3 linked regions of the Drosophila melanogaster genome follow. The protein of the gene in region 3 interacts with the protein of the main gene of each other region in a pairwise test. Each region holds a gene or a part of one and is shown on either strand. Other genes may lie near its edges. The genes, in order: smo, slo and Pka-C1.

What was found.
Region 1: the proteins of Pka-C1 (region 3) and smo interact in a protein complementation assay, tested with the Drosophila melanogaster proteins (one study listed by BioGRID).
Region 2: the proteins of Pka-C1 (region 3) and slo interact in binary tests that used the Drosophila melanogaster proteins (3 or more experiments, as listed by UniProt).

Annotation. Positions count from the first base shown.
Region 1 is NT_033779.5:273,930-285,259, forward strand, and holds smo (smoothened), read left to right. Parts: upstream 1-3,652; 5' UTR 3,653-3,896; coding exon 3,897-3,934; exon of another isoform or gene 3,935-4,000; coding exon 4,001-4,394; intron 4,395-4,713; coding exon 4,714-5,195; intron 5,196-5,255; coding exon 5,256-5,876; intron 5,877-5,940; coding exon 5,941-6,111; intron 6,112-6,180; coding exon 6,181-7,585; 3' UTR 7,586-8,238; downstream 8,239-11,330. Other genes in the region: CG11555 (uncharacterized protein), read left to right, coding at 57-722; CG17078 (uncharacterized protein), read right to left, coding at 1,018-1,322, 1,390-2,568, 2,810-2,974, 3,030-3,213; CG11601 (uncharacterized protein), read right to left, coding at 8,243-8,576, 8,725-9,218; CG3625 (uncharacterized protein), read right to left, coding at 9,957-10,281, 10,819-11,039. UniProt on the Drosophila melanogaster protein: Segment polarity protein required for correct patterning of every segment. G protein-coupled receptor which associates with the patched protein (ptc) to transduce the hedgehog (hh) signal through the activation of an inhibitory G-protein.
Region 2 is NT_033777.3:24,660,594-24,669,739, reverse strand, and holds the start of slo (slowpoke), read right to left. Parts: upstream 7,250-9,146; 5' UTR 7,177-7,249; intron 5,377-7,176; 5' UTR 4,945-5,376; intron 4,844-4,944; 5' UTR 4,655-4,843; exon of another isoform or gene 4,316-4,654; intron 1,595-4,315; exon of another isoform or gene 879-1,594; coding exon of another isoform or gene 831-878; intron 200-830; coding exon of another isoform or gene 197-199; coding exon 1-196. Other genes in the region: Ppox (protoporphyrinogen oxidase), read left to right, coding at 8,015-9,146. UniProt on the Drosophila melanogaster protein: Potassium channel activated by both membrane depolarization or increase in cytosolic Ca(2+) that mediates export of K(+). Its activation dampens the excitatory events that elevate the cytosolic Ca(2+) concentration and/or depolarize the cell membrane.
Region 3 is NT_033779.5:9,692,886-9,703,762, reverse strand, and holds the start of Pka-C1 (protein kinase, cAMP-dependent, catalytic subunit 1), read left to right. Parts: upstream 1-4,465; 5' UTR 4,466-4,648; exon of another isoform or gene 4,649-5,061; intron 5,062-5,331; 5' UTR 5,332-6,196; coding exon 6,197-7,258; 3' UTR 7,259-7,572; intron 7,573-10,877. Other genes in the region: CG31710 (uncharacterized protein), read left to right, coding at 224-495, 582-681; pelo (pelota), read right to left, coding at 1,641-1,833, 1,889-2,610, 2,670-2,710; hoip (hoi-polloi), read right to left, coding at 3,383-3,763, 3,826-3,828. UniProt on the Drosophila melanogaster protein: Serine/threonine-protein kinase involved in memory formation. Promotes long-term memory by phosphorylating meng and by regulating CrebB protein stability and activity.

The sequences.
Region 1 (11,330 bases), 9.4 Mb from region 3:
TGGCACCTCAGATGGTCAGATGGACGATATTCAGTTTAACCACAAATAACAACGCTATGAATTCTACCAATCCGAAGAAAACAGAAGATAATGATCGCCATGAACGTCAATTGCAGAGCCGCACCAAGGACTGGGGCAAAACCAAGTTCAAGCCAAAGAAGTATGTCCAACCGAAACCAGCGCTCGTTCCACAAGCTACTGCGACGCCCTGGCAGCATGTGAAGAACGACATAATTACGGATTCTTCGGACCGGGGACACCAGGATGTGGACAGCGAGGACGCAAGGCAGTTCATGCAGCAGCGTCAGAAGAACCACCGTCGAAATGTCATAGAAGCCAACCGGTCGCAGGATACTACATGGGAGCCCTTCAACGATGAGAAGCCCTCCACGGAAAGAAAACAACAGCTCTCCACGGACGTTGAGAACTTCACTTTTAAGGAGCGGAACTTTTTCCGAAAGCAACTCACTTTGGGTTTCAATTTAACGAAAAAGAATGCAACACTTAAATCTGCCCTAAAGGACTTGAAATATAGACAGCTGACAAAGGACAAGTTCGAATTAGAACGTTCGAATCATACACGTCGAAATGTGAAATCATCAAATGCGAAAGAAGCAAAGGGTAGCCATCCCTTTCAGAAAATGCGAGATAATGCACATCCTTATCGAAAGAAGGGACCAAATAGGAGAAATCCGTTTCAGAAAGGGCCACATAATGAATAAGTTTAGCTTATTTTCCCTTAGGTGACTTCACAACCCCAACTGGCAAAACATGAAGTTTCAATTAAAAAATAAATAAAAGATTCTTTGTCGGGTGACAAATCAGAAATGTATACACAACATTACTACACACTTTATGCAAATCTTAAAAATAGTGGTACAAATACATGTGGAATAGGTCGGCGAAAATAAATAAACTAAACAGAGTTCGGCTCCTCCTCCGTTGGGAGGAGCAAGAGGAGATTGAAGTGGCGCTCGCTGCGCCATGGTTCCAGCCAAAAATCGTCCAAATGAAATCTCAGCCATGTACATTGGCAAGCTTGGCGATGAGGTGGTTAAACTTGCCGTTGGTGGTCACAGACTTTTTGGCCGATCGCACTTGTTCCGGCGAGTGCTGCAGAAAGTAAACGACGATAAATTCGAGTGTTTGATTGGCTTCCTTAGGGTACATCATGTTAAAGGTATAGTAGTAGCAGATTAACTGGGCCAGAATGTCCGGCAGGTCTTCGTCTTTGGCGGCGAATGTGGCCATTATCTGGCCTTCAATGTAGACCTTCGCCTCCATTTGCGATTCCACGCCGTCGGCCGTTGTTATGGGTGAATCTGTGGGAAGATAAATATTTTAAAAGTATTTAAACACTTTTAGTGATATTAATTTTTGTGTACTTACTGACTAGAGCCACCCAGGGGGCGTTTGTGGGATTCGTGCTTTGCAGTGATTCCTTGCTAAGGGAACTGTTCTCGAGGTGCTTGAAAATGTAGTCGGGATCCTCATTAAAATAGTACGCTATGCCACGCAGGAAATTAGCGTTGGTCTCGTCCAAAGAGCTGATCTTCTTGTTCTTTGAACTCTTAAAGAACCTGAAAAAGCGATCCTTTTCGGTAGCCAAGCGCTTCTCTAGAGCCCGGGGATCGATGGACATAAGCAGCTCAAAGTGCTGGTACAGCACAGCCTTGTCAAAAATATATGGCCAATTGTCCTTAATGGCCGTTATATCTGGGATCTTTTCGCTGTTATTAAAAAAGGAGCGCTGCAACGGAAAGCACTCTTTCATATATTCGATTATGACGGACTGTTCCAGTGGGGAACTGCCTCGGTAGCTGGAGATTAGTAACTCCTTTTTGTGCTCCAGATCCCTGTTAAGAGCCAGCGATTTTGCATCACCATTGGAAGCACCACCTCCGAATTTTCGTTTTTTATTAGGGATGTGGATCTCAAAGGTTCCCGAGCTGCCGCGTTTCTGGGGTTTGTTTAGGGCATTGTTACGGTTGATCATCTTGGATATGAGCGATTGCGGAGTGGTGGCTATAAACTGTCCCTCGCGGTCTTTTTCGAGTAAGGAGTCGGGGTACTTTTCAGCCGCCTGTTGGGCGACCTGCCGGAAAATCCGTATGGGAATGTGGGCGGATATTTCACGGAGAGCCTCCACCAAAACATTCGCAAGTGTATTCAACCGCTTGCCCAAACTCCCCTTTCCCTTTAGTAGTTTCATTATGTCCCCAGGCACCTTGCTCCAGGGTATCGAGAACTCCTTGAATAGAGCAGAACTCTTTGCACTTGATGGCGTTACGCTGGACAGTGACATGGTTTCGTCATTAGAGACCGTCGAATCGTTCGGGTTCGACACAATACTGTTGTTGGCATAGAAGCTGGGATCCACCGAGCTGCCGGCGCGTTCGGATCGGTTGAGGGGCGATGGCGGAGGAAGCACCACATACTCCTCCGACTCGGCGAGGAGCATCAACAGAATCTTCTCCTTGGCAGCGAACAAGAGCACGTCGTCCTCGCAGATCTCGCAGCCGTTGCTCTCCAGGACAATTGTGTTGCCGCACAGGCCGTATTTGTGAGCTACCGAATACAAATATATTATTGATATAAATTAAATAAAATATGTACAATTATTTAATTTCTATCCTAGATAAATATATCACCCATTGATCAAATTTATATTTTTAAATGCAGAAATGCTCTAAGCTTAAACCCAATAGATTCTTATTAAAGACTGTCTACTGGTTAATAACTTCCAACTGGGCAACGTTCATTCGGAATACTGGATGAATAGATACCCAATTCGTCGGACGTTCCTTACCTTTGTCGATTACATCCTTTCGAGTGGGCAACGACATGAAGGTCTTCTTGATCTTGCGATCGGCGCTGCATATGGTAATCAATACTTTGTCAGCCAGCTCGGTCTTCGGCTTGCCCTCGTCGTCGTCCTTCTGGCTAGCATCAGTGGAATGTGTCGGCTCTACGGCTAAAAGGTAAACGTTAACCAGGAAACTAGACTAGCTTCGAGCAAGTTTGCTAACCGGGGGCTTTCTCACCGCAGCTCTCTGGCTTTTTCGCTCCTCCTGTTTGTACACCATTTTCGATTGTTGTTGCCTTTGCGAGTGCGACCGGCGCTTGGTTTGCATTTTGATTCGGACTGATCGGCGCCTGCTGGGTGCTATGATCGCCGCCGGAACTGGCGGGCGGTGCGGGGGCAACGTCCATGGCTTCTATTTGCGTTTGCGCGACTCCAACCAAGCCCTGTTATCCGTGTTTTTGGACCGTGCCGTGAAATAATATTGCAGAATAGGGATGTAAAAACTACATCGATGCTTGGTGCGCTACTATCGCGGTGTTATCGATACTCCGCACCCAGTGTGACCGTCGAGCGCATGGCATAAATAAATAAGCCAGCGGCCAGCATTGCCATATAGTCAAAATGTTGCGGGGAACACCTTTTTCGTTTGCTGATGCATTTCTACATATGATCATATTTCTTATTTTATGTTGATGTTATCTTATGTTACGATCGAACAAAATAAATCCGATTTGTTTGCATATCATTCGACTTGTTGCAGCTATGACCGATAATAACCGATGCCGACCGATAACATGCAAATCTCGCTGACCGATAACATGGGTATATTTAAACTGGCCCTGAATGGTCGCACATTTGTTGCTTCAGCTTCACGTTGAGTCGCGTTTATTTTTGTTTTCCTCCTTGGTTCTTGTTTTTTTTTTCTCTTTTTTAAAAACACTGCAATCCTTCAAAGGGAACAATTAAACCAGGATATCCCGAGTCCAACGAAAGCGCCTTCACGATGCACTGACGAACCGCTGAGCAAGAAACGGGCATTCAGCCCATTAAAATTCACACAAGGCAGCTATTTAATGATTTTTATAAGCGGATGCAGTACTTAAACTTTCCGCGCATGCCAAACATTATGTGAGTGACTCGCCTCTGGCAAATGGTGTGGGCAATTAAAATAACTTGGTTATTTACAAACCGCAGGATGTTCCTGGAGGTTGCGATCTTATGCCTGTGGGTGGTCGCAGACGCATCGGCCAGTTCGGCCAAGTTCGGCAGCACAACGCCCGCAAGTGCGCAGCAGTCGGATGTGGAACTGGAGCCCATCAATGGGACTCTCAATTACCGACTGTACGCCAAGAAGGGCAGGGACGACAAACCCTGGTTTGATGGCCTAGACAGCAGGCACATCCAGTGTGTCCGACGTGCCCGTTGCTACCCCACCTCGAACGCAACCAACACCTGTTTCGGCTCAAAATTGCCCTATGAGCTGAGCAGCCTAGATCTCACCGACTTCCACACCGAAAAGGAGCTGAACGATAAGCTGAACGACTACTATGCCCTGAAGCACGTGCCCAAATGTTGGGCAGCTATACAGGTGAGGAATCTTAATAACATCTAATGTACCTAATGATTTCAAAAGGTGGGGCCGAGTCTGTATGAAAATACAGATTGTCGCATTATTTTCTGATAAGGAGGTGCATTAGAAACAAGTTAAGCGCACAACTGTGATTACTTAATTACGCTTTGTGTTCAAGCAGTGAAAGTAATATGTGAATTGCTTTATCTTGGGAAGATTCAGATATATATACATATTCAGTTGTGGCTCAAGGTTTTCTGTAGATATTATAGTATTTCAAATCCATTTCTTCAATATTCCGGATTAGCTCAACACACCCATTTTTACATGTTTATAGCCCTTTTTGTGCGCCGTCTTTAAGCCGAAGTGTGAAAAAATCAACGGCGAGGACATGGTCTACCTGCCATCTTACGAGATGTGCCGAATTACCATGGAACCCTGTCGCATTTTGTACAACACGACGTTTTTCCCAAAATTCCTTCGCTGCAACGAAACACTCTTTCCGACGAAATGCACAAACGGAGCACGAGGAATGAAATTCAACGGAACTGGCCAGTGTTTAAGTCCTTTGGTTCCGACAGATACGTCAGCCAGCTATTATCCTGGCATCGAGGGCTGCGGCGTGCGATGCAAGGATCCACTCTATACCGATGATGAGCATCGGCAGATCCACAAACTGATCGGATGGGCTGGCAGCATATGTCTTCTGTCTAACCTTTTCGTGGTGTCCACCTTCTTCATCGACTGGAAGAATGCCAACAAGTATCCGGCAGTAATTGTGTTCTACATAAATCTTTGCTTTCTAATTGCTTGCGTCGGGTAAGTTTTGAGCACTATTTTGCATTTGTATTCTTAATCAACCACGTATTTACTATGCAGCTGGTTGCTTCAGTTTACTTCTGGCTCGCGAGAGGACATAGTATGTCGTAAGGATGGAACACTTCGCCACTCAGAGCCTACAGCCGGTGAAAATCTTTCTTGCATAGTGATCTTTGTGCTGGTCTATTATTTTCTCACCGCTGGAATGGTTTGGTTTGTGTTCCTCACCTACGCCTGGCATTGGAGGGCCATGGGCCACGTCCAAGATCGGATAGATAAGAAAGGTTCCTACTTTCACCTCGTGGCGTGGTCACTACCCCTTGTGCTTACCATTACCACGATGGCTTTCAGTGAGGTGGATGGAAATAGTATTGTGGGCATCTGCTTCGTAGGCTATATCAATCATTCTATGAGGGCAGGACTACTTCTTGGTCCGCTCTGCGGGGTCATCCTCATTGGTGGATACTTCATCACCCGCGGCATGGTGATGCTTTTTGGACTGAAACACTTCGCTAATGACATTAAATCAACTTCGGCGAGCAACAAAATCCATTTGATCATCATGCGCATGGGAGTCTGTGCTCTGCTCACTTTAGTTTTCATACTAGTGGCCATTGCGTGCCACGTTACGGAGTTTAGGCATGCAGACGAATGGGCCCAGAGCTTCAGACAGTTTATAATGTAAGTGTAAATACTCGTTTATAACTTTTTCCATACGCCTCAACTAGATAATTCTTTTGTTTAGCTGCAAAATTTCTTCAGTTTTTGAAGAAAAGAGTTCCTGTCGAATTGAAAACCGACCTAGTGTTGGCGTTCTTCAATTGCATTTGCTGTGTCTATTTAGCTCTGGAATCGTAATGTCCACCTGGTGCTGGACACCTTCTTCAATTGAGACTTGGAAGCGTTATATAAGGAAGTATGTTTTACCATCCTACCAAAAGTTGCATTAAAGTTATCTGTACTATCGATTTTATAACCTTTGCAGAAAGTGTGGCAAAGAGGTGGTCGAAGAAGTGAAAATGCCGAAGCACAAGGTCATTGCCCAGACATGGGCCAAGCGCAAGGATTTCGAGGACAAGGGCAGGCTCTCCATAACGCTCTACAACACCCACACAGATCCCGTGGGGCTCAACTTCGATGTGAACGATCTGAACTCTTCTGAGACGAATGACATCTCATCAACTTGGGCTGCATACCTCCCGCAGTGCGTAAAACGTCGCATGGCTTTGACGGGAGCAGCGACAGGTAACTCGTCAAGCCATGGACCGCGAAAAAATTCATTGGATTCCGAGATAAGTGTGAGTGTTCGACATGTTTCCGTTGAATCCCGCAGAAATTCGGTGGACTCGCAGGTATCAGTGAAAATAGCTGAAATGAAGACCAAAGTGGCGTCCAGATCAAGGGGAAAACACGGAGGCTCTTCCAGCAACAGAAGAACCCAAAGGAGAAGGGATTATATAGCAGCTGCCACTGGAAAAAGCAGTAGGAGAAGGGAAAGCAGTACTTCAGTGGAGTCGCAGGTCATCGCGCTCAAGAAAACGACCTATCCCAATGCTAGTCACAAAGTGGGCGTGTTTGCTCATCACAGCTCCAAGAAACAACACAATTACACCAGCTCCATGAAGCGAAGGACTGCTAATGCCGGATTGGATCCCTCTATTCTTAATGAATTCCTGCAGAAAAATGGCGATTTTATATTCCCATTCCTCCAAAATCAAGATATGAGCTCTAGTTCGGAGGAGGATAATTCCAGAGCATCCCAAAAGATTCAGGATCTTAACGTGGTTGTAAAGCAGCAGGAAATAAGTGAGGATGATCACGACGGAATAAAGATTGAAGAACTGCCAAATAGCAAACAGGTGGCATTGGAGAACTTTCTTAAAAACATAAAAAAATCTAATGAATCCAATTCTAACCGACATTCCCGAAATTCCGCAAGAAGTCAGTCAAAAAAGTCCCAAAAGAGACATCTCAAGAACCCTGCTGCTGATCTAGATTTCAGGAAGGACTGTGTAAAGTATCGGTCTAATGACTCACTTAGCTGCTCCTCTGAAGAGCTGGATGTGGCTTTGGACGTAGGAAGCCTTCTTAACAGCTCTTTTTCTGGAATATCCATGGGCAAACCACATAGTAGAAACAGCAAAACCAGCTGCGATGTGGGCATACAGGCTAATCCTTTCGAGCTAGTTCCCAGTTACGGAGAAGACGAACTGCAGCAGGCCATGCGACTCCTAAACGCAGCCAGCAGACAAAGAACTGAAGCAGCCAATGAGGATTTCGGAGGAACGGAGCTGCAGGGCTTGTTGGGTCATTCCCATCGGCATCAAAGGGAGCCCACGTTTATGAGCGAGTCGGACAAACTCAAAATGTTATTGCTGCCTTCAAAATAGCAAGACTAAATAAGCAATTGATGCATTTACTTAAGGTTCAAAAACTCTTACAATATTGTAGTTTTTGTTCTAAGAAATCAAATTGTTAGCGCTGAAAATAATCGTACAATCTTATCTATTTTACGAAATCGTAATATTGTTATGTTCACTGTTCAACGATTTATAAGAATATATCGCTTCACTAGAATTGGAAACCCAAATGATATTTAAAACAAACAAATACGAAATTGTAGTACACAAGCCAGAGCAGTTTACATGCGATGAACATTTAGATTCTTCTTAATCGATTACTGGAACAGACTGAGCGAAACTAGAACTACGAATTACGAATACTCATAGTCATTAGGCTGCAACTTTATTTTACAGATTCATCACCCCATCTAGCTTGTAAGCATTCGAATCTCTGTGTACGTTTGTGAATGACTGTTTCCTTAATCCTGGTACTCACGCCAAAGTAAATGCCAAAGAGGATAATAATTTATTTTCATTATTTTTCTTTGCCGTGGGTACAGGACTTTAGATTGTAGATTATAGATTTAAGTACGATATAAATAAGCCTCTTGGGCACACAAATCGTACCTCAGAAAGTGCCTTCAAGTTTACAAAATTATACATAATAATTTGTGTAACTAATAAACGATTTTAAATCCTCGAGTCCTAGCCTTGCTTTAATTTCTGTTGATTTAGGAGCTTAAACTCCGGACCCCAAACGACGTTGTTGGCGAACTCCCCGAGCAGATAGCAAACCAGGTTGAACCCCACAAGTAGTGCCAAGAACACGTAGCGCAGGTATGCGGGCAGCACTTCCAGAATGGGATACACCCACTCGCCACTGAAGTAGCGAACAATGTGCAGCCAGATGATGTAAAGCAGGATGAAGGAGACGTTGCCCGTGATGCCTGCCAATCGACTCGGATAGCGGCGGAAGCAGGTAAACAGGTCCATAATGGCCAAAAGGGCCACATTCGTGTGTACCACGTGATTCAACCAGCTGCAAATATTGAGAAACACAGGTAAATCAAAACTCGCCTCGCCTGATGAACAGAAAGTTTAGACAGGCTCGAAACAAAAGAGACTCCAGCAGACTAACATTGTGCATTGTACGCAAGTTAAACCGGCGGAAAAACATAAACACTTGCCTGGGGAAAATCGCATCCAGCGCTGAGGGAAAGATGAGCTCACGGTCCCACACGTAGATGACCCAAAACGAGAGGCAGACATTGTGGGCGACAGGAAAGGCAAAGGCGGCGAACACATAGTCCCTCACCGATCGCAACATGGATTTTGAATCCCCGGAGACATTGTTATCGCCGAAGAGATCGTTCAGCAGAGCCAATGAGTGGTAGATGGCCTGTAGAATGACGTCCAAGAAGGTAAGGTACTTGAACTTGCCGCCCCACCGCGCCTTCAGTTCATCCTCGTCTAGCAAATCCGTGGGCCAATGCACCCGGAAGTAGTGAAAGTATATCCCATACGAAAACTGCGCTGCCGCCAGGAGATGGACCAGGAATCTCAGGTATTTGAAGGCACCGCTCGTATAGGCATCGTTGCAAGTGTTCAACTGGGCTTTAGTGGCCTCGACAGCTTCCTTGGCGGCGTTGAACTCGCGCACCTGCTTCTTGCTCTTGCCCATTTCCTCCAGAAAAGGTGCAAAGGGCACCGCACGCTGAGCAAAACAAAACAAATAAAGCTAGCCAACAGCTGATTAGGGCGCAACACACGTCGAGTTTCATTCCAGCAAGGAGGCGTTTTTAAGCTAGAACTAGCTTTTTAAAGCCAAATCGATATGATAGCGCCACTTGACGTTTCTCTGATCTTGAAAAGCAGTTTATTCCAAGCTTCCCACCTTAAAACAGTTTTCGCAGCTGATGAAGAGTTTAATCGCTTTATTATGGTACTAGAATTGAATAACAGTGGTATTCAAAGATGGCGTTGAATCAGTGTGCTTGATATGAGAAGTTTAATCGAGAAGGCATTTTTGTATTTTGGTTAGTCTAGTAAACTTATCGAAAGACGCGCGCGCTCAATGGAAACTACGGCTATAATTTCAGTTACAATGTATGCGTAATAAAAATATAATGAATATCATTAGCAAACGGGTTTCCATATTATGATTAAAGACTCCGAATTCAATATTACTGGAAAATATATTATCGAGTTGATGTTTCAAGTTTCGTTTATTATTTCTCACATATTTTGTACGCCTTCTTCAGTTAACTTTGCAGTACGATTTTACATACTTATGAAAAATTTCTTTGGCTGAGAAGATCGAACAATATGAGCAAAATGTATAATCGAGACCTGTCAATCACTATTTGTATTTTGTGGCTAATTAACGCAACTACATCGAACAGAAACGGGTCACAGCCTCCTAGTTGGATTTGCGCTTGGCCAACTTCACTTCCTTGGCCCAGACGGTATTGTTGAGGAACTCGCCCAGCAGGTAAAGTGACAGCGTGAATCCAACGACGGCCGCAAAAAACAGGATGCGTTGCGGAAGCTGGAGAACCTCGAGCACTGGATACACCCACACACCCGAGTAGTGCTTCACCACGTGAATCCAAACCAGGTAGGCGCCCATGAAAATGGCCAGTCCTGCGAGTCCTTGGCTTCGTTTTGGGTACGACCTGTACGAGATGAACAGCTCCAGGATGATGAAAACCACTATGTTGGTGTGCAGGACGTGGTTGAGCCAGCTGAAAGAGTCGAGCGAAGATATTATCAGAGTGTCATGAAAAAACAATGGGTGAAATCAAGACTTTTCAGACCACTTTTTTAATTTTATCCCTAAATATATTATGACGTACACATCTTTCAAGCTTTGTCGTAGCAAGCTATCTGAATAAATTAATTACTTTGAAAGTAAAACCAGAGCCCCAAAACGAGATTATAGGGTCTTAAGGTTTAGTGTCTAAGTAGCATTTTATGAAGATGGTTTATTACTGAAATGAAAGGAAAAACGTTGATCTAATTCCTTCAAATGTATGAGTACTTGTTAGGATATATATATAATTGAAAGATATAGTTCCAATTAAATCGAACTTAAAAAGCCTGGATATAAAGAAACACAATTAACACAATACCGTAAATAGGCATGTCAGTGGTATAGAAAATGGATATGGCTTGAATTAGACATGCTTAGAATGCTAATCTGGTCATGATTCAATTTGTTGAGCAGAATATGCCTTATGCCAGCCAGGCCACCTTGATATCACCAGCTTTCGAGGTCTTACCTGGGGAACACGGGGTCCAGAACCTTGGGGAAGACTAGCTCCCTGTCGATAGCGTACAGTGTCCAGAAGGTCACGCCCACATTGATAGCCACTGGAAAGGCCAATGTAGCCATCAGCCAGTCCTTGAACCTGCGAACCGCCGGAGGTTTCTTGGGTGTCAGCTCATTAGTGCCCACGAAATCGTTGACCAGCGATACAATATAGTACAGTGCCTGAATTATCTGTAAGTGCAAGAGCATTTGACGTGTGTGAGATAATGCGAAAGCGGCTAGATTTGAAGGGTTGCTTAAGTGAAGTGGAAGGAATTACAGTTAGCGAAAAAACGTTGCACAAGCATTTCCTGTACAATTTCAGCGACAATAGGAGGCGAGATGTGAGTTTGTTAGTAAAGCACTGAATTTGGAGGGATTCAATTAGTTGCTTTGCAGTGGAATGGTATATATATATATTTATTGTAAAAACTGCTTTAGCGAAAGTTCTCCATATAAGATCTTCAAAAAGCTCTAACTTTT
Region 2 (9,146 bases), on a different chromosome or scaffold from region 3:
CCGGCTCCTTGCGGCAGCAAACGAATGCGAAGGCTCGCCATAGCAGCACCACGAGCAGGCCAGCAAGGAATGTAAAGATGCTGGACAGCAGAAAGCACCAGTACTTGCGCACCTTGAGACAATCATCGGCGTCGAATGGTGAATCTGTTGGATCGTCGGCCAATGATTCGACAGTGCTTTGATCACACCCCGACATCCCCTGCAATCACAATATTCGAATTCGAAAAGCGTTAGCAATTAGTTCGGTTGCAATGGTCTAGCAATTAGCTAACTATAATTAGCATAAATCAATACGATAACTGGCGGAAACATTGTTTACGTCATACACTTGACATTTGAAATCGGCGAAATGCCTTCTATATATGAAGACACTCGGTCGCAATCCAATCGTACACATATATGTATATACTATACTATACTCTTCTCAACTTGGCGACGCTGGCGAATGTAAACAAAATTTGTGCCTGGCCAAGGGTGCGCATAAATGAAATGAGTTCATGAATAAATGTCTCTAGTTTGCTTAGCCGAAAAGAGTATTCATTTGTGCACACAACAAAAAGAAGGCGAAAAATAATGTCATTTTACATTTTTATGAAATATGCAGTTTCAGTTGGTTGGTTACTTTATAAATCTAACTTATGTGACACAAAATATTTTTTATATATAGTGCTTTGTGGATTACTTAAATTTAATATGTGGCTTAAAAAAAAAACAACCACATGTTATGACTTTTTTATGACTTTTTCTTATTTTAATTACATAAATAAATTGTAATGAAAAAGTTCTCTCTGTGCATAGGGTATATAGTGTGTTCTATGTACAATCCTTACATTTGCCAATGTGCTGCTGAAATTGGTGTCGATCAAACCGCTTGCCATTTTGGCTGTTTACATTGCGACACTCGAACACACAAACGCTGTCAAATTAATATTGCCACTATATTCGTATTCGAATGGCGTTCAAGTGCAGTCGAGTGCCAGGCTACTAGAGTGCCAGAGAATAGAAGACGCTGGGAAATCCGAAAGATACGAATGATCCACCAAAGATCTCGGAACACCAAAGGCCTCAGCCTCACAATGCGAAACGGAACGAAAACTTGGCCCGTCTATTATAAATAGCATCAAACAAATCTGTTATTTTTAAAGTGATCTTTTTCTCCGACACACGCACGGCGACAAAAGTGCTCATAACACTGGGCAAAGGCCGACTACACAGCACCGATCTTACGATCCATACAACCAAATACCATAACTACATATATACATATACTACAATCTGGTTAGGATTGTGGTTATGGCCTGCATTCATTAGGGATTCACTGGGTATTCACAACTTGCGGCCAGAGGCCAACGCACTCATTCGGTGAATCACTGCACATACGCATGTGAATTTGCAATTTGTACGAATTTTGGGGGTGTAGACGGAGCCACAGATATACGTATAGTATATGCCGTATATATTATTATATATATATATATATATGGCGGATGTCGCACACACGACGCGGCACGCACGCGATTTTAGTCTAGAGTCTAGAATCGAGCTGAATCAAAAGGAGGCACCGAGCGAACCGCACAACTGGCGTCCACCAACTGAACGAGCCGTTTTCCAATTGCCCCAGTGCCATCGGGACGGTTTCAACGATTACAAAGAGCCCGCTCCTATCTATCTATATCCCCTTGGAGGCTACAGCTCTCCATCCCTCTCTCTTTCTGGCTCACCCACTCTCCGGCCATCTCTCTCGCTCTCCGGCGGATTGTATGACTATACGGGCATTTGGCTATATGGCTGACCGCGAAAAGTGTCAGTACGGGCGACAAACTTGAATTTAATTAAAAGGCAGAGCGCCAAGACAAGGCGAATTCAATTGGGTATTGGAATAAAGAGGATATACCCTAACTGTTGTGTTACAACGAATTCGAAGGACCTTTGTAGTTTTGGACACTCGAATCCTAAAGAATTCGAAGGATTACTGAATAAATAGTGAAGAGTAACTTTTTATTTACAATATTTGCTTGTCCTTTAATCTTAAGTTAGCCCAGTAAAATGTTCTATCAAGCGGTACATATAATAATTTCTAGTTCCGCTTATAATCTAACGATATTTTTAATTTGTTTTGTACAATTTCATGTTTGAATGTTTAATAGAAAAAGTTCGATTGATGCAAATATTGGTGGAACCCTTGGCAAGGGCAGCCAGCAAGTGTGTTGTGTGTGTGCGTGTGTGTTGGCCACAATGAATTATTGTTACAAGAAGAAGAGACAACGGCAGGCCGAGTATAAATAAATAAATTATGAGTTCGCTTCTATTCGCTTTTTCATTTTGGTTTTGTCTCTTGTTTTGTGCTCTGCGCCTATACACACACTTTTTGCATTCCTTCTTCGGTGACCCCATGGCCCCCCGGGCAACACTCGTTCCCAAAAAGTGGCTGGTGGATCCAGTGGATGGGTGTATAGGTGGGCGGGAGGCAGGTTAACGTGAACGTTAACGTTACTGCCATTGCTTCAGTTAACTCGGGCGAGTCACGCCATGCCGCCAGTTAGCTGTCGTTTCATAATTTACGCGCTTTGTTTGCTATTTCCTGCGGGGGCAGCCGTGGTAACAAGTTGGCCCAGTTTGTTTGCACATGCCACTGCCGCTACTTTCCACTACTTTCCACTACTGCCCCACTGGCCATAATTGCTCATCATCCCTTAGCCCTCGCATCCCTGCATTGCTATCCCTTCCCATCATCATCATGCTCATCATAAGCCAGTGGCGTGCATTTTATTTATAGTTTTTATTTCAGTATCGTTGTTTTTTTTTCACTGCTCTCTATTTTTTTGCGATGCTTGGGCGGTTAGGTTCTTCGCTTCATTGCATTTACGCAATTATAAATAGCGAAGAAGAGCAAAATTGTTATTCAATTAAATATTTGATGACTATTTTTAAGCAGCATTCACCTTGAATTTAAGCATTGCGTATACGTAATATTTACGAAACTCAACATTTGAGCTAAGGATAAAAGGTTTCTAAATTGCATTAATGTTTTGTAATGAGGTTTATAATAAGTTATTAATTTTAAAGTTAAAACACAATGTTTTTTTTAAGCCGAAATGGGTTACTCTTTAACCTTTTTGTTAAACTTGAGGCCTTTGTAAATACTATTATTTTTAACTCAATTAAATGCACACAACTGGGTGTTAATTTGTAATTCGCAAAGCAAACACACTCACAAAATTGGATTGAATTTAGAAGTGGTATCAAGTTTCCTTTAAATAAGCACATTCAAACGTTTTTTTTTTTTTTTTTTGAAAATTTCAGTTGCTTGCCTTTTTTTTTAGTGTTTGGATTAACTTCCGAGCACTTTCATCGATCCAAGCGAAACTGCAGTGGCCGGCGTTGAATAAATTATTTATAACATGAGAAGCACTGGTCGCTCTATATTCTTTGGCCCAAATGGAGAATGCTTTTTTCGGTCAAAACGCCTTAACGGGCTCAGAGATACTGCGCCAAGTCGATGGAATTGGTGGCGCCTTATGAGTGCGGGTGGAAAAGATAGGGAACGATATAAATTATACCACCAGGCCGATTTCCCTGTCATTTTGCGGCCAGAAACGGATGAAGTCACACGGCTACCGGTGGCTAGATAATAATTTTCATTGCGAACTATCGATTTTGGGGGGCGTGGGCGAGCCCCTGACCAGCTAGCTCTATATATCTTGACGCATGTCCGTCAAAGCGAAACGCTCGAAAGGCACAAAGACGGCGACAACTGACGAAGCTGACAAATACCCTTCGACTTTCTGAGCAATTTATGGCCAGCACTTGGCCCGCTGATTGGGTCCGTTGATTGCCGGCCACTGGTCTCCCCAATCCCCCATGTCTTTTCGCTTTCCCATCGGACATTGGACATTGGCCAAGGCCAAAGGGCTTAGGCTGCACTTGGTCGGTGTGTGTGTTTGCACTGGGTTCTTTGTGTGCCACATTCACAAAGGTCACGCGACCCACTGCGAATGGGTTGCCAAAGTGATGTGAATCCCATTTATTAAATGGAGCGAAACGAATTCAAAGCAGGAAGCGAAATATACGATCGCATAATTAAGATTAGATTGTGGTATTGGGTTTCTTAAATTAAAGTGAGCTTAGCATAAACTATTCTTGAAGAAATGGAAAAAGCGTTTGTACCTAGTAAATAAACTGAGCCATTTAACTTACTAAGTACTGATAAGATTATGTACATTATATATATTTACAACAAATTTTACAAATATCTCTCGATTACATTATCGTTTTACACCAAGTTGTACACTTAATTAACAGAAATAAGGCTTACATTTTAATGATATATATAATATAATGAGCTCGCTCCTTTGGATTCAAAACAAAGTGATAAGCTATTGGATTAAAGATCACTGCCTTTTATATGTTCGAAGTAGAGCAAAATGTGATAAGAGTAGCAGCGTCTAGCACTGCGAACTATCGCTGGAAAAATGACTGATTGATTGATGATTGATTGATTGACGAGCTGGAGAGATAGGTTAATCCCAGTAGTCCGTATACAGATCATTGCAGAGCCGCTAACGTGACTTCTACAATTTCAGATGGTCTTTCACAAGCGAGGCGTACGAATATGTATCTGTGGATTTATCACGTACGACATCAAGGGCTTTACCTTTGGCGTGATGGGCGGATAGAACGGTGGCAGTTCGTGGCAATTGGGGCACCAGCTGGCCATGTTCGTTCCGGTTTCGGTCCGGGCGGACCGCTTGCTGATGTGGTGTTGATGGTCTTTCTGGATTTCGAAGTGGATCTTGCGGCTGCTACGGCTTTCCCCTCGCTATCCGTTCTCATATTCGGGTTTCTATGCGGCACAGTGTATGGATGTTGTGGTGGTGGTGCAATCGAATTGGGATTTGGAACAGTGTTTTTTGGGCGAATGGATGAAGGACTGGGAGTACTCACCTAGTACTGGCTAAACCACCGAGGCAGGGCTCCAGGGCTGCCAACATTCACACGCTCAAATCGCACATCAATGTGTTTGGACGATTTGTGGTCGCTGCGGCTCGCCAATGTTGCACGTGGAAATTCTTGGGCTGGCTGGCTGGATTTTCCTCACTGGCTGATGGATTGCGGCTTGCTGATTATTTCATAATTGCATTTCGGATCCGTGGATGAGTTTCATTGTGTTATCAGCTGCGTTAAGCTTATCAGTTTCATTGTGCGTTTTGGTTTGTTTGCTTCTTTCTTTGCCGTCTTGATCAATAGTTGTTCGTTCTTTTGAATTTGAATTGGAATTTGGTTAAATTAGAAACTGCGCTTAGTCACACTGCTCATGTTTCCTTTCACAACTTATTTAGCTTTGTTTGCCCACGAAATTTTTCCTTGTGTGTTAAGCTGCAAGAGATTTATTAAGTTGAGCGATAATTTAAATACTTTTTAATTTGCCAAGGCAGCGCGACGAACGCGGTAATTAATTATATTTTTTAGTTAGGCTGTCAGCGTTATTTGCGTTTTTAATTTTTTTACGACCGCAGACATTTGTCAATGATATTACGTATATATTTGTATTCGTATATATATTCTATTAAATTAATATTATTTTAGACATTGTATCACCATTTTCCGTAGCCGGAAAAGCAAGCGTGTCAAGTAAATAAATAAATAAAGATGCGAAGCAGACTTGAAAGCAAAATCAGCACTATTCTCGCCGTTTTTAAATTCTCAGTTCTCGGAGAATTCTCTGAGAATTTCTCTCAATTTCTCACAATTGCTGCTGGCGTATTGGCGGCTGCGCGATGCAGGGAATCCGAAAATTGTCGGGCAGAAAGCTTTTTCCTTGCCTGCGAAAGTCGCACATTTTGGTTAAGCATACGCAATGTGGTACCAAAAACTAGAATTTTTGGCAATATACAACATGCTTTACAATTATCACTTTCGTTTGCATGTTATTTGTATATGATACATTTAATGTCAAACTTGTCATTGGTAACTTTTTAAGTTATTCATTTCCTGCCCGATTAGCGAGGCTTTGCTGTCCTGCGGACGGACTCGTTCTTTCGCCTGCGGCATGTCGTTGAAACGGAAACACACTGCCCTAGTTTTTAGTTCCCCTTCGTGTCACACACACACACTCGCACACCCGCAGGACACACACTTTCATGCGCTTAACGAGCTGCCTAATGTGCCTGCAAACAATGGAAACGGGACAAATGCCGAGTCAAATGAAAGTTGCATTTTCATAATAAATAAGCAGGCGACACAATTTCCCACGGCACGCCAACGGGCGGAAAATACAGGGGGCTTGGAAAATGGGCATTCGTGAGCCAATGTAAACAGAGCTTAGTCCTTCGTCCTGGCCGCGCATTGAACTCGCCTGGATTTGGTGGCTTCATTTGTAGGTATCTGGGTATCTGCGTATCCTGGCGCACGCACACACACACCCACGCTCGGCCAGTGACTGACTGACACACATATACCAAGGTATCCTGCGACACACGAAGGACGACGAGTAGGAAGCAACAAAAATAACATTGACGATGACAGCAGCGGCAAAGGCAGGGGAACGATACAAGTGTATCTCCGGCCTGGAACATCGACTTTATCATCGGGTCGGGTCCCTTCGTCCTTTCGTTTTGGGGAACTTGTGGTGTGCTCGTTTTAAAAACGAACGAAAAACTGTGCCGTATGCGCATGTGTGTGTGTCCGTGTGTGTTGACTTCAACAAATGTATCTTTTAAATGAAAACCTGCAGCAGTGCCAAAAAAAAAAGCGAAAAACTGTATTTCTAAAGAGTTTTCCTTTAGTGTTGCTCGTTGGTCCACTTCTTAGCTCCTTTATGTATGCAACACTTTTTTCGCAATCACAATCGCCGTTTTATGGGCGAACACACACACACACACTCGGTCACTAATTAATTGAATTTCCTGCGTTGTAAGTGTGTGTGTGGCACATTTTCACGTTCACTGAGCCCGTTTTCAACGGATACCGAATTTTGCACAATTGCCGTTCCGCAAATGGCCACGATAATTGCCCGGATTTTAAGACGTTTTTTGCTCAATTTTCCCCGTAATTGGCAAACGCAGCTTGAAAATTTTTCACATTTCCAAGTGCTGCAGCTGTGTGTGTGTGTATGGGTCCCGTGAATATACATATACGCGATAGGCACTTTTCCACACAGTCCACTCACTCACACACCCAGAATAAAAGACGCGACGCGCTCAAACGCGAGGACCAACCTTTCTCGTCAGCAGCGTATACAATTCTGCGCGATGTCGACTCCGACGACATGGAAATCGGTGGCCCAATGTACTTCCGCACGGCCCAAGCTCGTCTTTGGGAGCTTTTCGGAGTCCTGCGGTTGGTGCGGGCTGGACGCTTCGTTCGATTCATCAAAACTGGCGCCAAAACCCATTCACTATGAATGACCCAGTGCCGCGGTGATGGTGATGATGATGGTAATGGTGCCGATGCAGGTGCAAGTGAACTTCCGCACGATGCACACGTGGCGTATGAGGAATGTCGGAAGAAATTCATTGCATACTTTTGGGACGGGTGCACAAATGCATGTTAAATGAGATAAAATAATGGCAAATAAAAGTACTATGCATTTGTATTCTTGTATCAATGCTTAAATTAAGTATTATCAATTGCACTATATTTTATTTAACTTTACATAATTTAACAATAAATATTCTAAAACCATTGTTTCGATTATAAGATATTATGTTAGCTGTAGTTACCAAAATAAGTATAACAATAAATGCTATTTATTTTATAAAATATTTATCCCTTCCTTTATTTGATTTTATTTTCTGCAGAATTGTCAATTCAAAACTCTTCAATCGCATATAACATCGATTGCAAGCTCAGCGATTTTGGATTTGAGCTTATCGATAGCTTCAACGATAGTTATGTCACCTGGGTTTATTTTGGTCTGAACGATCGAAGCCGGCATAGATTTTTTCGTCTGCAAACCAGAACTAGTCTGAATCCTCTAAGGGATTCGGGAGCAACGAGAAGCAGCAGAAGGACCATGACGACGGCCGTGCTGGGAGGCGGATTGAGTGGACTATCCGCCGGATACTACCTGTTGCGGCGATTCGGGAAGCCGCTGACCATCTACGAGGCCTCGCCCCGTGTGGGCGGATGGGTGCGGTCGGAGAATCGCAAGGATCGCAACTTCATCTTCGAGAGCGGACCGCGAACCATACGCCCAGTTGGTGAGCCAGGTGCCAATACGCTAGAATTGGTGGAGGATCTGAAGCTGGAGGTGACTCCCATTCGACGCAGTCATGTCGCAGCACGCAACCGAATGCTGTATGCCAAGGGACAGCTCTGCATGCTGCCCAACAGTCCCAAGGGTCTCTTCGGCGTCCTGCCTCCCTTCACGAAGCCGCTATACAAAGCGGTTCTTCGCGATCTGTTCACAGCAAGCAAGAAAGCGAAGCTGGAGGATGAGAGCATCTACAGTTTCGCTGAGCGGCGGTTTGGTAAGGAGATAGCCGACTACGCCATCAGTCCCATGATCTGCGGTATTTGCGCCGGTGACGCGCGAGAAATAAGTGTGCGCTTCCTGATGGAGGGGCTCTTTGAAAAGGAACAGAAGTACGGAGGAGTGCTCAAGGGCACACTCATTTCCCGCTTTGAGAAGAACAAGACCAAGGACACCAAGGATGGACTATTTGCCGAAAGACAGCCCAAGCTGTATGCGCAGGCGGTAAAGGAGAAGTGGGCCATGTACGGGCTGAAAGGCGGTCTGGAGAACCTACCCAAAACTATGCGAAAGTACTTAGGTGAGCGGGATGTGAACGTGCAGCTAAGCAACGAATGCCGGAACCTGACCTTCAGCAGCTCCGGGGTTCGAATGAACATCAAGGATGCCGAAGTTCCGGTGGAGCATGTGGTCAGCTCCCTGCCCGCCTACAAACTCGCGCCCCTGGTAAAGCAGCAGCATCCCTCGCTGAGCGCCCAACTTTTGAGCATTCCGTACGTGGATGTGCTGGTAGTGAACATGCAGTTCCCCGGCAAGCTACTCAAACAAGACGGCTTTGGATTGCTAGTGCCGCCAGTGGAAAAGTTACCTCTGCTCGGCGTCATCTTCGACAGCTGCTGCTTCGACATGGGCGAGAACACTGTGCTTACCGTGATGATGGGTGGCCATTGGT
Region 3 (10,877 bases):
CTTGATCACATTCCAGTCAAATATATGTCGATTTTTATATATTTATCGATTTGATGATCATAAAACGAAAGCAAAGAAACTCGAATCGTTGAATTATCTGTCCGAACCTCAACTCCACTTGACTGTACTACTTAACGCACATATCTTTCCACTCCAGTTCCTATTTAAGTGCAGGCCACTTAACACCGTCGAATTAAATCGAGTCAAATCAGGCGGATCCAAGATGCTCACCAGACAACCCGACTACACCATCTCCGAGCTGGGCCATCCCATCCATCAGTGGTCGGATTCGACCGCGTGCGAGTCCCTCAAGAAGCTGGACTACACAAAGATGCCCAGTTCTCCGCCATCACCACATCGCCTGCTGCCACTGAGGGAAACGTTGGACGATTGTTTCAAGCGCTTGACGATGAGGAGCAGAGAAGATTTCGAAGAGGATCCCGTATACCAGCAGAAATTGAGAAAGAATCAGTGCAATGAACAGCAGCGAAGGCGGTAAGGCAAATGGAAAACTTAAACAAAGCATTTCATAACAACATTTCCCCATCTTGTTTCTATTTGCACAATGGCCAAACTATCAGCAGCAATCAAAAATGTCGAGATAAAGCCCAGTCCGGAGCAACAACGACGACGACGACGACGACAACGATAGCGGCGAGCTGCGATTTAAACAATTTCTGAGATTAAAAAGAAGGAGGAAGAATACTTATGGGGGAAGCAACCTAAGCGGACTGACTAAAAGTGCTAAAATAAAACACCTTTTGCCTAGATCATTAAGTACATTAAATGTTAAGTAAAGAAAAAGCTATAGCACTTAATTTTCATTTAATTGCCAGCCACGCAGTTAGCATACAAAAACATATTCGAATGGAATTTCATCGGCCCATTAAAGTGTAAACAAATTGCGGAGAAGAGTAGTGAATAGAACAGAACAGAACTAAACAGGCTGGCAGCCAAAAATGGTGAGGAGACATTGGGGCAACCTTGATCATGAGCACGTCGCTATGGGGCCAACAAATTAATGCTCGAACGTGCTTTCTTTAAATGGCTAAACGCGTGCGATCGCAGCAGATCTCTATTCGCAGCGGAAGAATCTGCGATCTTCTAATGGTTATGGAAGTCCATAGTGGCAGATCTAGCAAATCTAGACCTTATCACTTGTGGAGATACTGTGCTAAGCCATACGAGTGAAATCACTGCGATATATTAGGTTGTAGTATAATAAGTTAAAAACTCTCTCTTAATAAAGAATAACAAACGCGTTCTCAGCTAAATTCTACACATAAATTCTATACACAAACATAAATAAATTGAAAACCACAGTCGCAGGCATAGCAAATCAATTAAAGCACAATCGATACAGTAATTAAATTGATTGCTCTTCTTCAGATTTTCTGAATTACCCCAATATTTGTATTCTTTCCGGCACCCAAAGCAGTCTGGTGACATGCGTTCCATATGGCGACACAAGCACACCAATTGCCATAGCACTCTCACACAATTTTGCCAAGTTGAAGGTTTCTAGTTATACTCGCGATCGTGCTCTTGATCTCCCGCTTGATTGGGCTTAATGTGTGCCCAGCTAGTAATTACTTCAATATACATAGATATATACGTTGGCTCAACCAAGTGTAACTCACCTAAAGAGGTTGTCCGAGATCAGCAGCGTTTCGATGGCCTGCGACTCGGCGGCTTGGAGGACATGTTTCTTTCCATAGAAGGCCTTGGCGGGCTCACATTGCAGCATCATGTAGAATTGTTCCAGGGCCTTGACCTCGCCAGCTGCCTTGGTGTCAGACATCTTGGCCAGCACGGCGGGATCCTGTAGAATTTCTGAAGGCAAGAATTTGACTTAGAACATATCTCTTCATAAGGGTAAATGGCTCACCTCTTAAGGAGTGCTTAAATCCCGAGGATGCGTGCACCAGCATAAACTTGCTCTTGTTGTCCAGCAGCAGCTTGTAATCCATTTTGACCGCCTGCTGGAACATGTAGTCATAGAACTGATCGCGCACGAATCCCGGCGACGCAATCAACACACACTTGACCACATCGAAGTTGACGTGCCGCAGGATGCTCTGCATAACCTGCTCGTAGAACTTGGCCAGTCCCTTCTCGTGTTGCTGGACACTGCCCTTGCGCTTGCGCGGTATGGAGACCTCAATCTTGCTCCGCACCAGGGTCATACTGGCGGTGATCAGGCAGACGTGTGCTAATCCCTCCTGCATCACAACGGCGGCTACATCCGCAGACTGTGTGGGATCGCAGGCCATTTCGATGCGCTCTAAGGCAATTGTGTCCCATTCCGGCTTACGCAGCTCGAACTTGCGATTCAGCTCCAGGTCGAGGGTGTGATAGGCGCCCATCTTGACATACTGGTTCTCCTCGATGTTTCTGCCTTTAAGGCGGAGCACACAAGCCTGCGTATCAAAATCTATGCTCTCCACTGCGATGGTTAGTGTGGTGCGCACCCGGCTGCTGGTGGAGGAGCCAGTAGCCGTTTCATTCTGCACCTTGCGAATAGTGGTGCTGCGCACGCTGTCGCCTTTCGCAATCAAATTGTAGGCGTGCCACATATCCTCGGACTCCTCCGGCACCAGGGTCACATTTCTAAAAGAATTTTCGAGGCATAACGAAAATAGTTTAAGACTCTGGGGATATTCACTCACCCCTGCATGCCCTTGTCCACGTATTTGCCCAGCAGCTTCATCCCGTCTCGTTGCTGGTCAGGATTTGGTATTTGTTTCGTCGGCAGGCACTGCCTTTATACCGAGTGCTTTGATTCCTCTAGCCGCTTGTCACTTGCACCCAGATTCCAGTAATTCCCTCCGTTCACAAAGGCGGCGGTGCATCGTTGTCATTGGGTTCACGCAGTTGCTAAGTTCACACCGCTGATCGAATCGGCAGGATGGTGTGGCAATGGTGGTGGTCAGTAGAATCGGCGGCCAAGTGACATTCACCAGGGGCGAACGGTGATGTGCGACTGGCTATTTTGCCGCCAGGATTGGCTTTCTTAAAGTAGTTTGCATAAGCTACCATTCAGATTTTTTTCTATTTCTATGAATAAATAACTTATAGTTATAAATAAATATTCTACATGCACATGTACATTTTGGTCTGGTTCAATAATTTATATGAAATAAGCTTATATTAAACTAGCTTATTTATTTGCCAGCACTTTGCCGGCTATACCAGCTGACCCCTTTGGTTTAGTATTTTCTGGTATTTTTCGGCATTGGTATCCGGTGTCCAAAAATTGGGCACTCCAAGCCAACCATGTGCGTTGGAAACAACAATTGCATTAAAGAATACACATGTTTATTCAAAATTTCAATTTGAAATTACCACTTTGTACGAATGTTCACTTAAATCTAAAGGGTTACTAGACTAGCAGTCGCTCGATCTCCTGCTGAATGGAGGTGATCTGCGACTTGAGCTGGCTGCCCTCGTTGGTGGTCACAGAGCAGGCGACTATTGGCCGGGAAACTCCGCACGCACGCCCCAAGGCCTGCTTGGAACGAACGAAGACGTAGGGCACGTTCTTGTCCTCGCACAGGAGCGGCAAATGGAGCAGAATCTCGATGGGCTCCGCATCACCGGCCAGCACCACAATATCGGCCAGTCCGCGATTGAGGGTCTTGGTGGCCTCGTTGGCTCCCTTGCGCAGTTGATTGTAGTTCAATGCTTGCTGCAGCAAGTTCATGATCTTGGCGGTAAGCTGGGCATCGGCCAGCGGGAATGCCTTGGGATTAACTTCCTCAGTCTGCAAAGATTGGGATACTTGTTGAAATTTACATCTCTCGATGCTAACGTGGATGCACTCACCATATTGGCTTGTTTATTGTATACTTTTACTGGAAAAAAGTGCTTTAAAATGCAACCTCTCCGCTTGCTGCTTCACTGAGGGCAATTGCAGAACAATTGAAATCGCTTTCAAACACGTGCGTTAGCGTTAGAAAACCGTTCGCAGGTGGTTCGGAAATACCAAATAAGACTGGTCATACTGCCATCTAGGCAATACTAATCGTAACGGAAATTGTGTTCTCTGCAGCCCTAGCTTAAATATACTTTTGATAATTTAAGGGAATTCCCAAATAGAATTTCATAAAATAAAAAAGGAAATCCATTTAAAAATATTTCGTAAAATCGAATCTAAACTTACTTCATAATACAACGTTTCATTAAACAAGTGCTCTATTTTTATTAAAAATTATATCTTTCATGCAGCTTAGAACTCTTTAAACATAACAATAAAATAATCCTTACAGCTTACGAATTATATATTATTATAATTATTTATTAAAATTTTGGATAACCGCTAGCTATTTCCGATCATTTAGATTTTCAGACGGAATAGAACCCGCGCAGTAGGGATTACTCATGATTGCGCCGCACGGTTCACGCTGAGCGAGCTGCCTATCGCTGGCCTACTCACACCTGCGTGCTGGGGCGCATCCGCGAGTCGCGTCAGTCGAAAAAAAAACTTTGAACGATTTGGTCGGGAAAACTCGGTTCGGCGGCTATGCGGGTATTTTTAATCTAAGCCATCAATCCACAGCTACAGTGCATCAAATCGATCGGAAAGTCGAGGCAATATTTCTGAAAGTGTTTACAAATCGCTGGCATCGTAGTCGTAAATTTCAAAAAGGTAATTTCGCGCAGCGAAAATGGAAAAGCAAAGTCAAACAAACTCAGAAAAAGGAAATGAATGTAAAAAATCGATTATTCAATCTGTGTATGTGTATGTTGGTGTGTGTGTGTTAGGTGAGCGCTGAGTGTGTATGCGTGTACGATAGTGTTTGTTTAAACCACGGGATTTTTTTATGCCCAAATCGAATGGCGAAAATTTAGCACACCGAGCAATAAAGGCCAATTTAACTAATTTAAAGTGTGCGAAATGTGGAAAAGTGCCTGCGAAGAGAGCGCTGAAGAGAGATCGCAGAAGTAAAACCAGAAGCGCATACATATGCACATCAACTCGCACACATACACACACGCACACCAGTGAACGCAAAGAAGCAAAAGCAAAGGAAATGAAAAAACAGAAGCCAAAGCAAAACGGTGCCAAAAAAGTATTTAATAATTAAAATAGGCGAAAATGAGAGGGAATGCGCGAGGAAAAGGAAGCAGCACTGCGTAACAGTGCGTGAGTGGGAGTGAGCTGGCACTACGGCATCAGCTGTTTGACACTTGACACGATCGAAAGTCGCCTCCTCTCGCTCTCTTTGCCATTCCTCTGTTCTCTTCTTTTTATTATTTTCTGAATTTCGAGTTTGTGTGCGATTTTGTTAAGCTTATTTATTCAGTGATTATAACCAGCTTTTTATTAAGCTCCATAAAAGTGCCAGCAAAGCGCTGAGAACAAAAACAATATGAAGTGAAAAATGCGAAAGAGCGAAAATACATAAGAAACTTAAAATATAATCTATATGTGTGCATAAAGAACTCGGAAAACTGGACTCTTATTTTTAGCCCCTTACCGAATATCCCGCTAATTTGTGCCGTTTTCTCTCCCGTCTCTCTTTGCAGCTTCTCAAATTAGAGTAAATCGCGATCATAAGCAACCTTAAAGTGTGAAACCAAATGTTAGTCTAAGCCTAAAGTGTATAACTAGTTTAAGACCTCACAAATTAAAGAAACCAATACGTGCTAAAACCATAACTTAAACGCGTCTTAACCAAGCGCCTTTAAAACGCAACCTAAACACCAATTTAAAAGGATATTCAGCGAATAAGAGAGTGAGAGAGCTCCAGTGAGAAGCTCTCTTTGGCCCATAAGGAGCAACTATTTCATCCGCACCGTTGACCCGTAACTCGGCAAAATAGCTAAGTCCATTTTGCAGTTCCTCAAAAAGAAAAAGTCCCATCATAGTTCCACATCCGGCGAGGGCAAGCTACAGGCGCAGTCCAGTTGCGAGGAGGAGGGCGGAGCGGCAGCGGGAGGAGCGGGAGCGGCAGCGGGACCTCCAGCGGACCAGGCTAGCAGCAGCAGCAGCGGCCCCTCGTCAGCAGCCGCCGCCCACAAGAGCACGCCCCCTGCCGCCACGACCACGCCCGGTTCAGGGGCGGATTCAGGAGGAGCCAGCGGAGGAACAGGAGGAGGGGGAGGAGGACCTAGCACCTCCGGCGACGATCAGGCCCAAGTGTCGGCCAGCGCAACCTTCCGTTTGTCATCGCTAACGGGCACCATCTCCAAGATGGGCAACAACGCCACCACGTCGAATAAGAAGGTCGATGCCGCCGAGACGGTGAAGGAGTTCCTCGAGCAGGCCAAGGAGGAGTTCGAGGACAAGTGGCGACGCAATCCGACCAACACCGCCGCCCTCGATGACTTCGAACGGATCAAGACCCTGGGCACCGGCTCCTTTGGCCGTGTCATGATCGTCCAGCACAAGCCCACGAAAGACTATTATGCCATGAAGATCCTCGACAAGCAGAAGGTGGTCAAGCTGAAGCAGGTGGAGCACACGCTGAACGAGAAGCGAATCCTGCAGGCCATTCAGTTCCCCTTCCTCGTCTCGCTGCGCTACCACTTCAAGGACAACTCCAACCTTTACATGGTGCTGGAGTATGTTCCCGGTGGCGAGATGTTCTCCCACCTGCGCAAGGTGGGCCGCTTCTCGGAGCCGCACTCGCGCTTCTACGCGGCGCAAATCGTGCTGGCCTTCGAGTACCTGCACTACTTGGACCTCATCTACCGTGATCTGAAGCCGGAGAATCTGCTGATTGACTCGCAGGGCTACCTCAAGGTGACGGACTTCGGTTTTGCCAAGCGGGTCAAGGGACGCACCTGGACACTGTGCGGCACGCCCGAATACCTGGCCCCGGAGATCATTCTGTCCAAGGGCTATAACAAGGCCGTGGACTGGTGGGCGTTGGGCGTACTCGTCTACGAAATGGCCGCCGGCTATCCGCCGTTCTTTGCGGATCAGCCGATTCAGATCTACGAGAAGATCGTCTCCGGCAAGGTGCGCTTCCCATCGCACTTTGGCTCCGATCTGAAGGACCTACTGCGCAACCTGCTGCAGGTGGATCTGACCAAGCGCTACGGCAATCTGAAGGCGGGCGTCAATGATATTAAGAACCAGAAGTGGTTCGCCTCCACCGACTGGATTGCGATCTTCCAAAAGAAAATCGAGGCGCCGTTCATTCCGCGGTGTAAGGGTCCCGGCGACACGAGCAATTTCGATGACTACGAGGAGGAGGCGCTGCGGATCTCCAGCACCGAGAAGTGTGCCAAGGAGTTTGCTGAATTCTAGAGGAGCTCTTCGCCAGTCAGCCCAATCCCCTCGTTCTGCAGGCGCCTGCAACTGCAATTGTATCCGCTACTGCGATTGTATCTGCAACTGCTCCTGCTGTTGCCACCGCCGTGGCATCGCGGACCACGTCCTCATCGTCGTTGTCGTCGTCTTGTCTATATGTCTACTACTTACAACTACAACAACTGTAACAGCCCCTCCCACAACACAAAAACTACAGCCACATCTTCGTCTGAATATCTATCCGTATATACTCCACATCCATACTATTGCCAACATTGGATTTCTCACCACACACAACAATTTACATCAGCGTAAGTATATAATAATTGAATTTAAAAATGTTGAGGGTTTTGAAAAATATATTGTGAGTTAGAACCCTTTGAACAGCGAAATTTAGTCAAGCCTAGAAAACTCAGTTGGTTTACTCAGCAAAGAAAAACAAATACAATTTCACATTCCGAACCGTAGGTCTAGGTTTCAAAATTTGTTTACTTCATAATTCATTCACTTTATTTATTACTAATAACAACATTCTTATTCACGCCTAATCATACTGATAACACGACTTGAGATTTTTAGTAAATAACCACAATATAAACATTAGGCTATTACTATATACTTTATTTTATTTAGAAAGTGCATATTATAATTGTTCTACTGCCTACCTTTAGAATGGTTTATGAAGAGGAATTACTATTGACTTACAGAGATATACGGGAAAAGGCGAGTTCCTAATTTATTATGCCATATATCAATCTGCAAATGCACACAGAAGGCTATTTCTATTTCTCACCATATTTGCTGTACGGGATATTAATCTATTGACTGTATTCCCTACTTTCTTTGGTAACGATTCACTGGCGAAAGCGAAGGGTATTCAGGGCAAGGGTATTGCAGGTTTGTTTTTGTTTTGACTTTAGCTGGAGATTGATGGACTTGAGTGGCTTGATTGATTGATTGCTTTCAGCGGAATGTTTTTGCTTGTTTTAGGGAGAGCAAGTGAGTGAGTGCCAGAAAGTTGATTATGAGACAAAAGGCATTTCAGCTCGTCCGTCAATTGTTCTGCCCGGGACAGTACACGGAATTCTTTTAATTAGTTTCCGTCGGTGACTTGGCTTATTGCGATACGCGGATGGTTACCCTGCGGCACCCAAAACCTACGTGATGTTTTCTCAAAAAGATATTCGAGCATGACCACTTACTCACTTATTTGCAGCCAGACCCCCGGGGCAGTTATACCCGTAAACATCGAATCATTAATTGCAATAAGCGTCAGAATGCGGTCGTAAACGTTAACTGTAGCAGCCGGGCATAGTTCAGACGGGTCTAATCTCCACAACAGACAAACTAGACAGCTGATAGTAACAATGCAAGCCAATTACGTTCAAAGGAATTCTCGGTGCTTAAAGTAAATTTACACAAAAGTTGGTGGTGGGTTGTAAATCATGAAACTTTCTAGCTATAATTATTTGAATTCAACTGGAATGTATTCAGTTACACTTTAGCAGAAGTAAAGTAAAAAGCCATTTAACTTATATTTCGAATCATTCTGTGATACATCTTCTTTAATTAAATACCAAAATGCTTTTCCATTTTAATTTCCTGGGACTCCCACAATTTCCACACAGAAATATAGTCATTCACACTTGACCCATTTGAAAGGCCAACAAAAAGGGGAGAGAAAGCCATGAATAATGTCAAAGCAAAAGGCAGTAAAAGAAGTATATCTTTTATTTTATGAATTATTTCTCGTTTCTTTGCGGAGCTACAAAGAGCTAGCAGCTAGATTGCGTGCCCGTTGGCCATTACCGAAATTGTGTTTCTTTTATCAAAGCCAAACGCTGCTGGTAATTAATAAATTATAATAAGTTTTATGTCCAAACATCATGAGCAAAACAAAAGCAAGAGCTGCGTGCGAATGCCGCATAAAGTTTAGAAATTGTGGGGAAATGCGAAAAACTAAAAACAGAAACGCAATCAAGAGTTGTTAATTCTGGGAGAAAAGCTTGACTGCAGATCAAAGGGGAAAAATCCGAAATATTCACGCCAATGTTCATGCGGTAATCGTTGGCCGTGACCTTGTTCGACCTTTGGCCTAGCCCCAAAAGAGTTGTCCATCCGAACATTGGTTTTTTTTTTTTTGGTTTCTCCTTCGATTCCCTGATGTACATATATAAGCATTTCCATGCGACATGTGTTGTCTACAGTTTTATTGGCACCAATTATGTGTATAAATGTATGTATAAACATTCGGTTGTTTCTGTCGCTTGCTGCCTGAGAAGGCCATCAATCATTTGGTTTTGGGCCAAGTCAATTAGACCCGTAGTCATGGGTACTAAGTGTCGGGCATTAGGTTTACTTATTTACATTAACTCGACGGCTTTACTGATTGCTTATCAATGCAAAGGCGGTGGAGGAAGCGTTATCACGCGAAGAAACCAGCTGGGTGGGAGTGGGGTGATTGGGAGGCACGCCCTAGTATTCGATTTCCCCTGATAAGCCAATTAAACTCTTTCTTTGGCAACGAGTTAATGCTGCTCTGCTGCTCCAGTGAATTTTATACCATTTAATTTTAATAATTATATATTTCCGCTTTATTTTACATTTGTTTGATATATAAGTGAATAAAGAGCTAAGCTAAAAGTCTCATAGTTGAATAACTTGATTGTACTGTTAGTACTTCCCTCGTTTCTGGCACTCTTCTAATTTGGAGCAAGCTAAGAGCCAAAGTTCAGCTCCCAGCTGGATGTCGCTGAGCAAACTTGTTCTCAGAAGTCGCGGCACAAGCACTCAGATATCAAGCAACATGGATTCAACACGCATTCGTTGTGCTCCAATAAACACCTAGACCAAGCCAAGTTTAGCAGTCAGCCAAACAACACAGAATGCAACTGCCAACGCGCTTGTGAATCTGAGACGTTGTCTGGCCAATTTCGGGCTAACAGGGGGAGGTTCGCTCGGGGGCGTGGCGGAACGGGGGCGGTAGATCTCAGACATAACGACCAGGCCGGGCAGCCTTGTAACAGTGCCCTCAAAATCGAGCTTTTTAGCCAGCACGCACGCGCTGCAACTGCGGCCAAGTAAATGGCGATGGCGATGGTGATGGTAACAAAAACACAGAGATACCCAGACAATGGTCGTGGAGAAGTGAAAACAATTAAGTCGCCGAGAGGGGGAAAAGCCGGAATTTTCCGAGAATTCAATAAGGTAAATGGTTCTGGTTCCCCCTGGTGACCAATTCCATTTTCGTTTTTAAACGAGAGAGACACCGAAGTAAATGTAGTTCACTGGCAAAAATTTACAAAATATTTTCAGTAATTGAATAAAAAAGATTCATAATATGAATAGTGAATATGACTTTAATTTGCTTTATTATAAACATACAGTTATATATGTGCAATCGAAGTTTTCCATGCTCTCAAGTATTTTTATCCGTGTAAGCAACTACAATCTGACTGAGTCAACGCGTCGTATGAGCAATATATGCAAAAAGAGCGAAAAAGAGGCAAAGCTCAAATTGTATTTTCGTTTTCATACGCATGAAGAATAAATTAAACGATTTCTGCCTTTGCCTTAATTGTGTTTGTTGATTTTGTTAACTTTTTCGCTTCGTTTC